Ovis aries: one gene and its partner. The protein of the gene in region 1 purifies or fractionates together with the protein of each later gene. This does not show direct contact. Links are inferred from orthologs where the notes say so. Each region holds a gene or a part of one and is shown in the gene's direction. Other genes may lie near its edges.

Evidence for each region.
Region 2: the proteins of ARFGEF3 (region 1) and PHB2 purify together in Homo sapiens (affinity purification with western blotting; 4 studies listed by BioGRID). This does not show direct contact. The link is inferred for Ovis aries from reciprocal best matches to the Homo sapiens genes ARFGEF3 and PHB2.

The regions. Positions count from the first base shown.
Region 1 is NC_056061.1:63,245,571-63,250,158, forward strand, and holds the start of ARFGEF3 (brefeldin A-inhibited guanine nucleotide-exchange protein 3), read left to right. Parts: upstream 1-1,323; 5' UTR 1,324-1,505; coding exon 1,506-1,590; intron 1,591-4,588. UniProt on the Homo sapiens protein: Participates in the regulation of systemic glucose homeostasis, where it negatively regulates insulin granule biogenesis in pancreatic islet beta cells. Also regulates glucagon granule production in pancreatic alpha cells.
Region 2 is NC_056056.1:209,333,926-209,338,726, forward strand, and holds the start of PHB2 (prohibitin-2), read left to right. Parts: upstream 1-1,570; 5' UTR 1,571-1,707; coding exon 1,708-1,834; intron 1,835-2,016; coding exon 2,017-2,101; intron 2,102-2,409; coding exon 2,410-2,489; intron 2,490-3,367; coding exon 3,368-3,552; intron 3,553-3,973; coding exon 3,974-4,103; intron 4,104-4,196; coding exon 4,197-4,300; intron 4,301-4,346; exon of another isoform or gene 4,347-4,589; intron 4,590-4,679; coding exon 4,680-4,757; intron 4,758-4,801. Other genes in the region: EMG1 (ribosomal RNA small subunit methyltransferase NEP1), read right to left, coding at 1,155-1,322.

The DNA.
Region 1 (4,588 bases):
TTCTTTAACTTACAAGACAGGACCATTACCCTCCCATTTTCCCAGATAATAAACCTCGAAGTCATCCCATGTATTACCATGCCAATCAGTCAGTAAATCCTACTGCTTCAGTTCAAAGATCTCTTGCTATATCTTCCTCTATTCCTTTCCACCTGCCCTTGGCTTAATTTATTTGTAGATCACTGAAGAATCTTCGACTCTTTTCTAGCTGCCAGTCTCGGTTCAGTTCAGTTTAGTCGCTCAGTCATGTCCGGCTCTCTGCAGTCGGCTCCTCTGCAATTTCCCTCCCTCAGTACCACTACAGCTAAATTTCTAAAGAAAAACAAAAGCGTCCAGAATCCTTTCTGAGTTCCCAATCACAGCTTTCACAAGGGGGTGGGGGGAGAGACTCCAAATAAGACTCCTGCTTTCCCCTCCCCTTTTCCTCCAACATCCCTCCTAGGGCCTCCATCAGTGAAGGGCTTGAAGTGACTGAAGCACTCTCCTAAGATCTGAGACTCTGCCTCAGGCTGCCTTCCCCCATCCGGCCACCCTGGTCCGCTCCCAGTTCTGCCTGAAGCTTCTTCATCGCCAAAGCTTTCTCTGTCCACCCTCTCCCACCCACACACCTAAATTGGATAGCTCTCTGCTGCGTGATCCCCTGTGCGCCGTCACCCCACCCTTTTTTTTTTTTTTTTTTTTTTCCTTCAGAGGATAACAACTCAGGTCAATAGAGGATTGGAAAGGGAAGGAGGAGAAAATTTTTTAAAGGGTTTGGATTCAAGAGTCCAAATTTTGTTGGTTTGGGAAGTACCTTAACCTCTCTGGGCCCGATTTCCTCCTGTATAACGGGTGAATAACAGGGATATTAATCCTACCATGACCCACACACGCACACGTGAGATGATGTGGAGTACATGGTTGGGCAGAATCAGTCTGTTCACAGGTAGCGCCAGAGCCTGGCACCGAGGGCGGCCCAGAACTAAGGAGCCTGGACCGCGGGATGCCGCGGGCGGCGCAACGCCACCAGGCGCCGGAGGTGGGGGGGGCTCCTCTAGCCGAAGCCGAGCAGCCCCAACCCCGCCCGCCCGGGATGGAGGGGGAGGCGGGGGCAACGACGAGGCTCCTCCCCGCCCGCTGCCCGCCGCCGCCAGACGCTCCCTCGGGCCGAGCCCGGCCAACGCCCCGCCGGCGAGCCGGCCCAGGACACCCGTCACCAGCGCTCCGCGAGCCTCTGTGCCCCGGGGGCCGCCCCAGGTCTCGGCCTCCGCGCCCCAGGCGCCGTCTCCGTCGCGGCGTGCGGGGCGCACCTGACCCTGCGGGCGGGGCGGCGGGCGGGGCTCCGGGCCTGACGCGGCGGCGGCATGGAGCGGGCGTGATTCATCCGCCGCCGCGCCGGGCCGGAGCCGGGCGAGCGCAGCGGCCGCCCAGGCGCCCAGGGCCGGGCTGCGGTGGCGGCGGCGTCCCCGCCGGGCCTCGCGCGCGCTCCCCTAGCCGTCGGCTGCTGGCCCGCGGCAGAGGTCAAGATGGAAGAGATCCTAAGGAAGCTGCAGAAGGAGGCGTCCGGGAGCAAGTACAAAGCCATCAAAGAGAGCTGCACCTGGGCCCTGGGTAAGCGCGCCGAGCGGGGCGCCGGGCACCTGCCGGCGGGTCCTGTTCGCCGCCGCCGGAGGGCCGCGCCGGGGAGGGCTGTGATGGCCCCTCTGCGGGGTGCTGGCAGGGGGCTTTCGCTGAGCAGCTGTGACAGATGCTTTTTCGCGCGATTGCGAGAGTTGCCTCGGCGAATTGATGGGTGATGTGCAAATTTGGATTCGGGCGTGTACATCCATCCGCCTACCTTCTGGTCTCTTGATCTTCTCCCAAACCTTAATGGGGAACCGCCGAGCTCCCCTCCTGGCGGCCCCTTTCTTCACGTTCCCTGCACGGCGGACGACGGTCACCCATCTCCGAGTTCGGATCACAAGCCGGTGGGAAAACACCGGCCTGATTCCAAAGCGCCTGTGGGCTAGAGGGAAGTAGAACCGTCAACCGCGGTCTCAAGTACCTTGGCGAGTGTAACCAGGAAGGAACAGCTTATTTGCTTTTTCCTGATAGAGGCCAGCTTGTTAAGTATTAGCTTTCGTGGTTATTGTAAATGGAAAATAACATACAGGTGGGGTGGCGTTACCTCTTGCAATTCCATTGTTGTCTGCCCTTCAGACAGATTTGATTTTAGATTTGTGAACTCTGCAAGCACTGAAATAAGTTCCAGGTAGCAAATTTGTGTTTATTGTCAGACTTGGATTGTAGAACTCAACCTCGGAGAAAACGCAAGACATTCAATTAGGCAAGAATGTGGGCCATCAAAATTGTCTGGATGGAAATTCAGGGGGGTCAGGAGCGTACTTGGGGGTAATAGTGATGCTTGAGGAGGGAGGAAAGGAAGGGCCAAGAAGAAACCAGGGCAGCTCTGTGGGCCCCTGGCCTTCCCCAAGCCTGGATATGATTCCTCAGTTGCCACCCAGTCAAAACAGAAAATTGAATACCTTTCTCTCTCAACCAAAAAGCTATCAGTGTTTGTCATGACACTCTGCTGTGGTACAGCCTGGGAAGGGCCGTTAGCAGGTTTTCTACTAAATGGAGAATTCTGTTGGTGTTCTACGCATCTTGGTTAGTATTTAGAAGATCTGAATTCACATATGTTTGAGTGTGTGTGCACAGACCATCACTTTTTTTTTTTTTTAACCTCTGTCATCACAAAATTTTCTAGAATGTTGTCTAGTAAGTTTATCTTGTAGGCAGAATCAGAACTTGACCATTTGTTTACTGTTAGAAGGGGGGAAAAAATGGACCAGATACACAAGTGAGCAGCAAGGCTCTTAAAGCCACAGTACTGTTTTTGCATTGCCATTGTCATTCAGTCGAGTGATGGGGTAGATTCTCAAAGGCTTCAAATGAAAGGTCACAGATGTTCGGGTAACATAATCTAGCAGGTCCTGACTGCACTCTAGACAGGCTCTTACGTGTTCTTGTTATTATTTTGCTGTAAGTTAAGCAGATTTAGATAGCATGGGAGAGGAGAGGAATCTAGCATTTCTAATGTTTGGATTTTGATACTCTACATCTTGTTAAGTTAAAGTGCAATGTTACCTAGTTTAGGTCCTTGAAGAAAAAGCCCGGAGCTGAGGCAGCTAGATAATGTGAGCAGAGCCTGGAGTTCAGCCTGATGGGAAGAGTAAATGGGGTTCTTTTCCCAGGGGCCGTTCTCAGCAAGAGATGGGAGTGCATGAAACAGTTAAATAACAGTGGTGCGGAGCATTCATTGTGCAGGTTGGAAGGAGTAAACCAGGAAAACAGATCAAAGTAGAGGGAGTGAATGTGAGGTCAGGGGTTGGGGGTGGGGGTACTGGTATGAGTTGGTGGGCTTTTGAAGTCAGTTGGACTTGAAGAATGGGTAAGCTGTGGGTTTCTTCTTTTCTTTGCTTGTGTAGCAAAGATTTATTAAGACCTCCTCTGTACTGAGCGGTGGGAAGAGAAAAATGAATAAAATGCTTCCTCCCTGTAATTAGCTTGTTAGGAGGGTATGTTGGAGGGAGAATGCTGCAGAAACAAAGACACGAAGGTATGGCTTCCTGTTCTCTTTCCCACTCCAGTCCATTTTCCACTGTTCCAGATTTTTATTTTTTTGCTATAAAATGCTTTTCACTCCTCAATCCCCATACTGTTATTCTAGAGTAAAGTGTGAATTCCTTAGAATGCTCTTTGGAATCTAGCCCCAGCCTTCTTTCCTGGCGCCCTCACAGCAGGGGTTCATCGGTCCCCATTAAACCATATCCTCTCTTGTACATTCTGTGAGCTGTATTTTCCTTGGCCTGGGCTCATGCTAGTCCTGCCACGGCTTACCTTTCCAGACTCCCAAGCCTCAGCTCACATACAAAGGCTTCCCTGAGCTCTGCAAGTGAATCGGTTGCTCCTCTGGGCTCTTAGCTGTGCCCTCAGGATCCTCTTAGAGCGCCTGCTTTGGGGGATTATAGTTGGTTATGCCACAGCTACTCTTTTAGGGGCAGGATGATTGAGAAATATTTTGGATTCAGGAGACAAAACGAAAAAATTCAAGCATACTTAAAGCAAAATAGAATGTTTCAGTCTATGAACTAAACAGCCCTTGGAAGGCTATCTGTGGGTTGAGTTTGGTTCAGGAATTAGATACTGTAACAGAGATCTTACTCTGCTCTTTTGGGATGACAAACACACTCAACATGAGTCTCCAAAGCTTTGAGTTCATCAATCAGCACACTTAGACCATCTCAGGAAAGAGGGGTTCATCCCCCACTTAGACCATCATGGGAAAAGGGGGTCTTTTCCATACTTAGAGTATCTCAAGAGAAAGCAGTCATCTTACACTTCAGCCATTATAAGCGAGAGGGATCACCATGACATTTAGACCACCCCAGGAGAGAGTCATTCTTATGAAAGCTACCATGGGAGAGAGGGGTCATCTTCACACTTCATCCATATCACGAGAAAGAGCTCATCTCTCACTTGGACTATTATAGGAGAAAGACATTTAGATCATAACAGGGGAGAGGAGTCCTCTCCCACTAAAACTCTCATAGGAGAGAGAGAGTGC
Region 2 (4,801 bases), on another chromosome or scaffold:
ACAGACATGTTTCAACGAATCTAAACACTAAGTCCTTACAAATAAAAGGGTGGGCTGACTGAGCTAAAGGGCCTCTTGATGAAAGTGAAAGAGAAGAGTGAAAAAGTTGGCTTAAAGCTCAACTTTCAGAAAACTAAGATCATGGCATCTGGTCCCATCACTTCATGGCAAATAGATGGGGCAACAGTGGAAACAGCGACTGACTTTATTTTTCTGGGCTCCAAAATCACTGCAGATGATGACTGCAGCCATGAAATTAAAAGCAGCTTGCTCCTTGGAAAGAAAGTTATGACCAACCTAGACAGCATATTGAAAAGCAGAGACATTACTTTGTCAACAAAGGTCGGTCCAGTCAAGGCTATGGTTTTTCCAGTACTCATGTATGGATGTGAGAGGTGGACTATAAAGAAAGCTGAGCACCAAAGAATTGATGCTTTTGAACTGTGGTGTTGGAGAAGACTCCTGAGAGTCCCTTGGACTGCTAGGAGATCCAACCAGTCCATACTAAAGGAGATCAGTCCTGGGTGTTCATTGGAGGGACTGATGTTAAAGCTGAAACTCCAAAACTCTGGCCACCTGATGTGAAGAGCTGACTCATTGGAAAAGACCCTGATGCTGGGAAAGATTGAGGGCAGGAGGAGAAGGGGATGACAGAGGATGAGATGGTTGGATGACATCACCAACACAATGGACATGGGTTCGGGTGGACTCCATGAGTTGGTGATGGACAGGGAGGCCTGGCGTGCTGCGGTTCATTGGGTCGCAAAGAGTCGGACACGACTGAGCGACTGAACTGACTGACTGAGCTATAGTAATTACCTCTGCCCAGTAAACTTGTCTTGGGATGAACCGAGGAACGACACGAAGGACGAAACCTCTCCCCTAAGACGACTTTGGGGTTAGGATTATCACAGAATCCTGGTAAATCAATCGGAAGCAAGGATGTGAGCCGCACAGAGATTCAAGGGCAAAGAAAACGAGTACTACCAACTCAGGATGTTAAACGAAGAGGCAGTCGATTAGGCCACTCCTCCAAAAGCATGTTTCACCCGTCTCTGCTTTCTCCATCCATCACCCCCTGAGCCCACCACCCTCACCACACCGGATCCCATCCTATCGATCCACTAGCTCTCCATCTCCTAGTCCAAGTCTACCTTGACTGTCTCCAGACTGGCTCCTTCCAGCACCACAATGAGCCTACGGCCTCCGATCTTGCTACCCGCCCCAAGTCGGGGCCGCTTGGGCGCCACAGCATCCCAGTCCTCTTCCTGCTCCGCAGCCCGGCGCTCACGAGGTTGGAATGCACCACTGGGCGCAGCCATCTTGCATCCGTATCGGAAATTGTGTAACGTCCTTAAATTGGCCTCGAGCTCGCCCCAATCTCCAGCTTCCTTCCGTCTGCCATTTCGAAAGTGGGCGCTCGGAAATGGAGACAGCTCGAGGTCTACCGCTCGCGAAGCCTCTCTGGGAGGGCAGGGTTCCAGAAAGGGGCTGGACTTCCGGATGCATACTTCCTGTGCGTCCAGTTCCGGTCCGCCGTTGGCTGCGGGGAGGGTTTAGAAAGGAGCGCACTTCCGGTGCCCTTTCTCCCGCGAGCACCTGGGGCCCGGACCCTCGTGTGAAGGGTGCCATCCCTAAGCGGGAGCGAGGTAGAGACGGGCCGGCACCCCCTTCTTACCACTGGTGCCGCCGGCCTCAGGACCGAACATGGCCCAGAACTTGAAGGACTTAGCGGGCCGGCTGCCCTCCGGGCCGCGGGGCATGGGCACGGCGCTGAAGCTACTGCTGGGGGCCGGGGCCGTGGCCTACGGCATCCGCGAATCGGTGTTCACCGGTGAGCAACCTGCGCCCGCTCTCCGGACTCCCACCAACCTTCCCTGGACCCCTTCCCAGGACCCCTTCCCAGCCCCAGCCCCACCGAGGCCCCGCGCTCACCCAGCCCCTCACCCCGCCCCACCAGAAGCTGACACGTACTCTGAGCCCGGCCTGGACTGACTCCCACCCCTCTCCCTGCAGTGGAAGGAGGGCACAGAGCCATTTTCTTTAATCGGATCGGAGGCGTGCAGCAGGACACCATTCTGGCCGAGGGCCTTCACTTCAGGTAATGGCGGGCAGAACTGACTGACCCTGACCCATCACCCTTGAACGTCGACCCACCAGTACCTGTAGTAAGACTGACAGCGAGATTCAGCGCTGCCTTTTCCCCTTCTCACCCCATCTCCCCGAACAGTGGTGCTGCCCAAATCTCCAGCAGCACATACTGTTGTTTTCTGAAGGGAGAAGACAGTTTCTCCTTGACCGTGGTCATTAAGAGGAGGAGCAGGTCAAGAAACACGTGGTGAAGGAAAACACGGCAGAACTAGTGAAATCGCAGCTTCCTAACCCCTATCCCTGTTCCCTTCCCTCCAGGATCCCCTGGTTCCAGTACCCCATCATCTACGACATTCGGGCCAGACCCCGAAAAATTTCCTCCCCCACAGGCTCCAAAGGTAGGTCTGGGCACTGGGACATCCCTGACAGTAAACACGGGAGCCTGGTCAGAGACTGGGGAAGATCGTGGTGTCAGATCTCTTGGGCTTTGGCTTCCACTTCTGCAAACAAGGTGTAATAAAAGCACCTGCTCCAGGGATTAAAGCAGTATATTCTGGACATGCTGTGCATTTGCTCGTTTTCAAGTGTTCCTCCCCCTAGTGTAAACTCAATAAGAGCATTGTTTGTCTTTTGTCTTATTCACTACCTAGGTCAAAGCCTCGCTTTAAAACCTTTCTTTAACTGTTTGATTTATTAATCTACTGGTACATTCTGTTCTGGGGAAACTTGGTCTCACCTATTCCCTCCTACACCATTCACAGATGTGCCTTTGAGATTCCCCAGATCAACCTTACACAGACACAGACACACACACACACACACACACACACAATGAGGCAAGTAGCTCACCTGTAATGTACTTTTTTGCGTTATCTTCAGTGAAGGTTTCTTAAATTCCCAAAACCCTAGGCCTTAAGAGTAAAGTATCCACAAAACAGTCTTTGTTCTCCAGTCCTTACTGTCTAGTTCAGGAGACTGGCGATAACCATACAATGTAACAACTTACAGTGAAGCGTCAAAAATAAAAGAAAGCTTTTCTGGAGGAGAGGCCATGGGTAGAGGAGATTTGACCATGGACAAGTATGCACTTGGCCTGTGCTGAGTCACCTCTCATCAGCCTCCTTACTCTCCGCCCAAGGCCATTCTGGGCCACAGGGCATTGCCCTAGGTAGCCAGGGAAGCACGCACAGGAGAAAATGCCTAGGCAGGGCGGCTTTGCCGAGAGGCCAGGTGAGCCCCCGTAGCCTCGCCCAGCCACTGCTGACCTCTTTCTTAGACCTGCAGATGGTGAACATCTCCCTGCGGGTGCTGTCCCGACCCAATGCCATGGAGCTGCCCAGCATGTACCAGCGCCTGGGGCTGGACTACGAGGAGCGAGTGTTGCCGTCCATTGTCAACGAGGTGCTCAAGAGCGTGGTGGCCAAGTTCAACGCCTCCCAGCTGATCACCCAGCGGGCCCAGGTCTGATTCCAGCTCCCCTTCCCTCCCACAGCATCAGCATTTCCCTCCAAAGCCTCGTGGACGGGCTTTTAGGAAAGCCAGCCCATTAGGAAAGGACTGTAACCTGAGGTCCTATACACCCAAAAAGCCGTGCTGATGGCCAGTGTGGGGAACGAGGGCCAGGCCTGGTTAGTGTCAGGCAGGGAGGGAGAACCGTGGTCTAGACCCGCACACACGGTTTTGGAAAGAGTGGAGCTTAGGAGTCCGTGTGACCGAGGCCTCTCCAGCTTTGCAGGCTCAGTGAGGAAGTCGGAGAGCCTCAGTGTGCCCCTGCGGTGTTCTGGAGATCTGGGATTCCCATGGTCACGGCAGCACGCCTTCCTTTCAGTTCTCCGGCCCCCTCAATGCCCCTCTCCCGTCCGCCCCCGCCCCCGCCCCCCAGGTGTCCTTGCTGATCCGACGGGAGCTGACCGAGAGGGCCAAGGACTTCAGCCTCATCTTGGACGACGTAGCCATCACCGAGCTGAGCTTCAGCCGCGAGTACACGGCCGCTGTGGAAGCCAAACAAGTGGGTGAGTCAAGCGAGGGCGTCCGAGGAAGCAGGCAGGCGCGACGGTGTTCCCGGTGCCTCGCGTCCCCGTGACCCCGATTCTCTCCCGCCACAGCCCAGCAGGAGGCCCAGCGCGCACAGTTCCTGGTGGAGAAGGCAAAGCAGGAACAGCGGCAGAAGATCGTGCAGGCGGAGGGTGAGGCCGAGGCGGCGCGGATGATATCCTTCCACAGAAGCGCTCCCAGCGCGGCCCCTCCCCTGTAGGCTGGCTGATGAGACTTAAGGCGAATGCGACCTGTGCCCTTCGACCCCTGGGGGCGGGGGCTCCGAGTGGGATCTGAGCTTGGTGGGGCACCTCAAGGCTGCGTCCCCACCATGAGGCAGATCAACAGCACGGCTGGCCTCGCCTCCACGTCCGCTGCTGCCTCCAGTTCCCGGCAGCTGCCTGCAGGGAGGCCGACAGGTGGGGCTGGACACGAGCCACGTGAGCGCAACCTTGGATCTGACAGCCCAGGGGAGGGCCGAGGGGAGGAAGTAGGCAGGACCGGACCCGATTGAGATCTGGCCTCTTGTGGCCCCTTAACTGCATCCTGTTCACTTGGGAGAGGCCCTGAGCAAGAACCCAGGTTATATCAAGCTGCGCAAGATCCGGGCAGCCCAGAACATCTCCAAGACGGTGAGTGTGCACACATTGAAGGGAAGGAAGTAGAATCTTCCTTG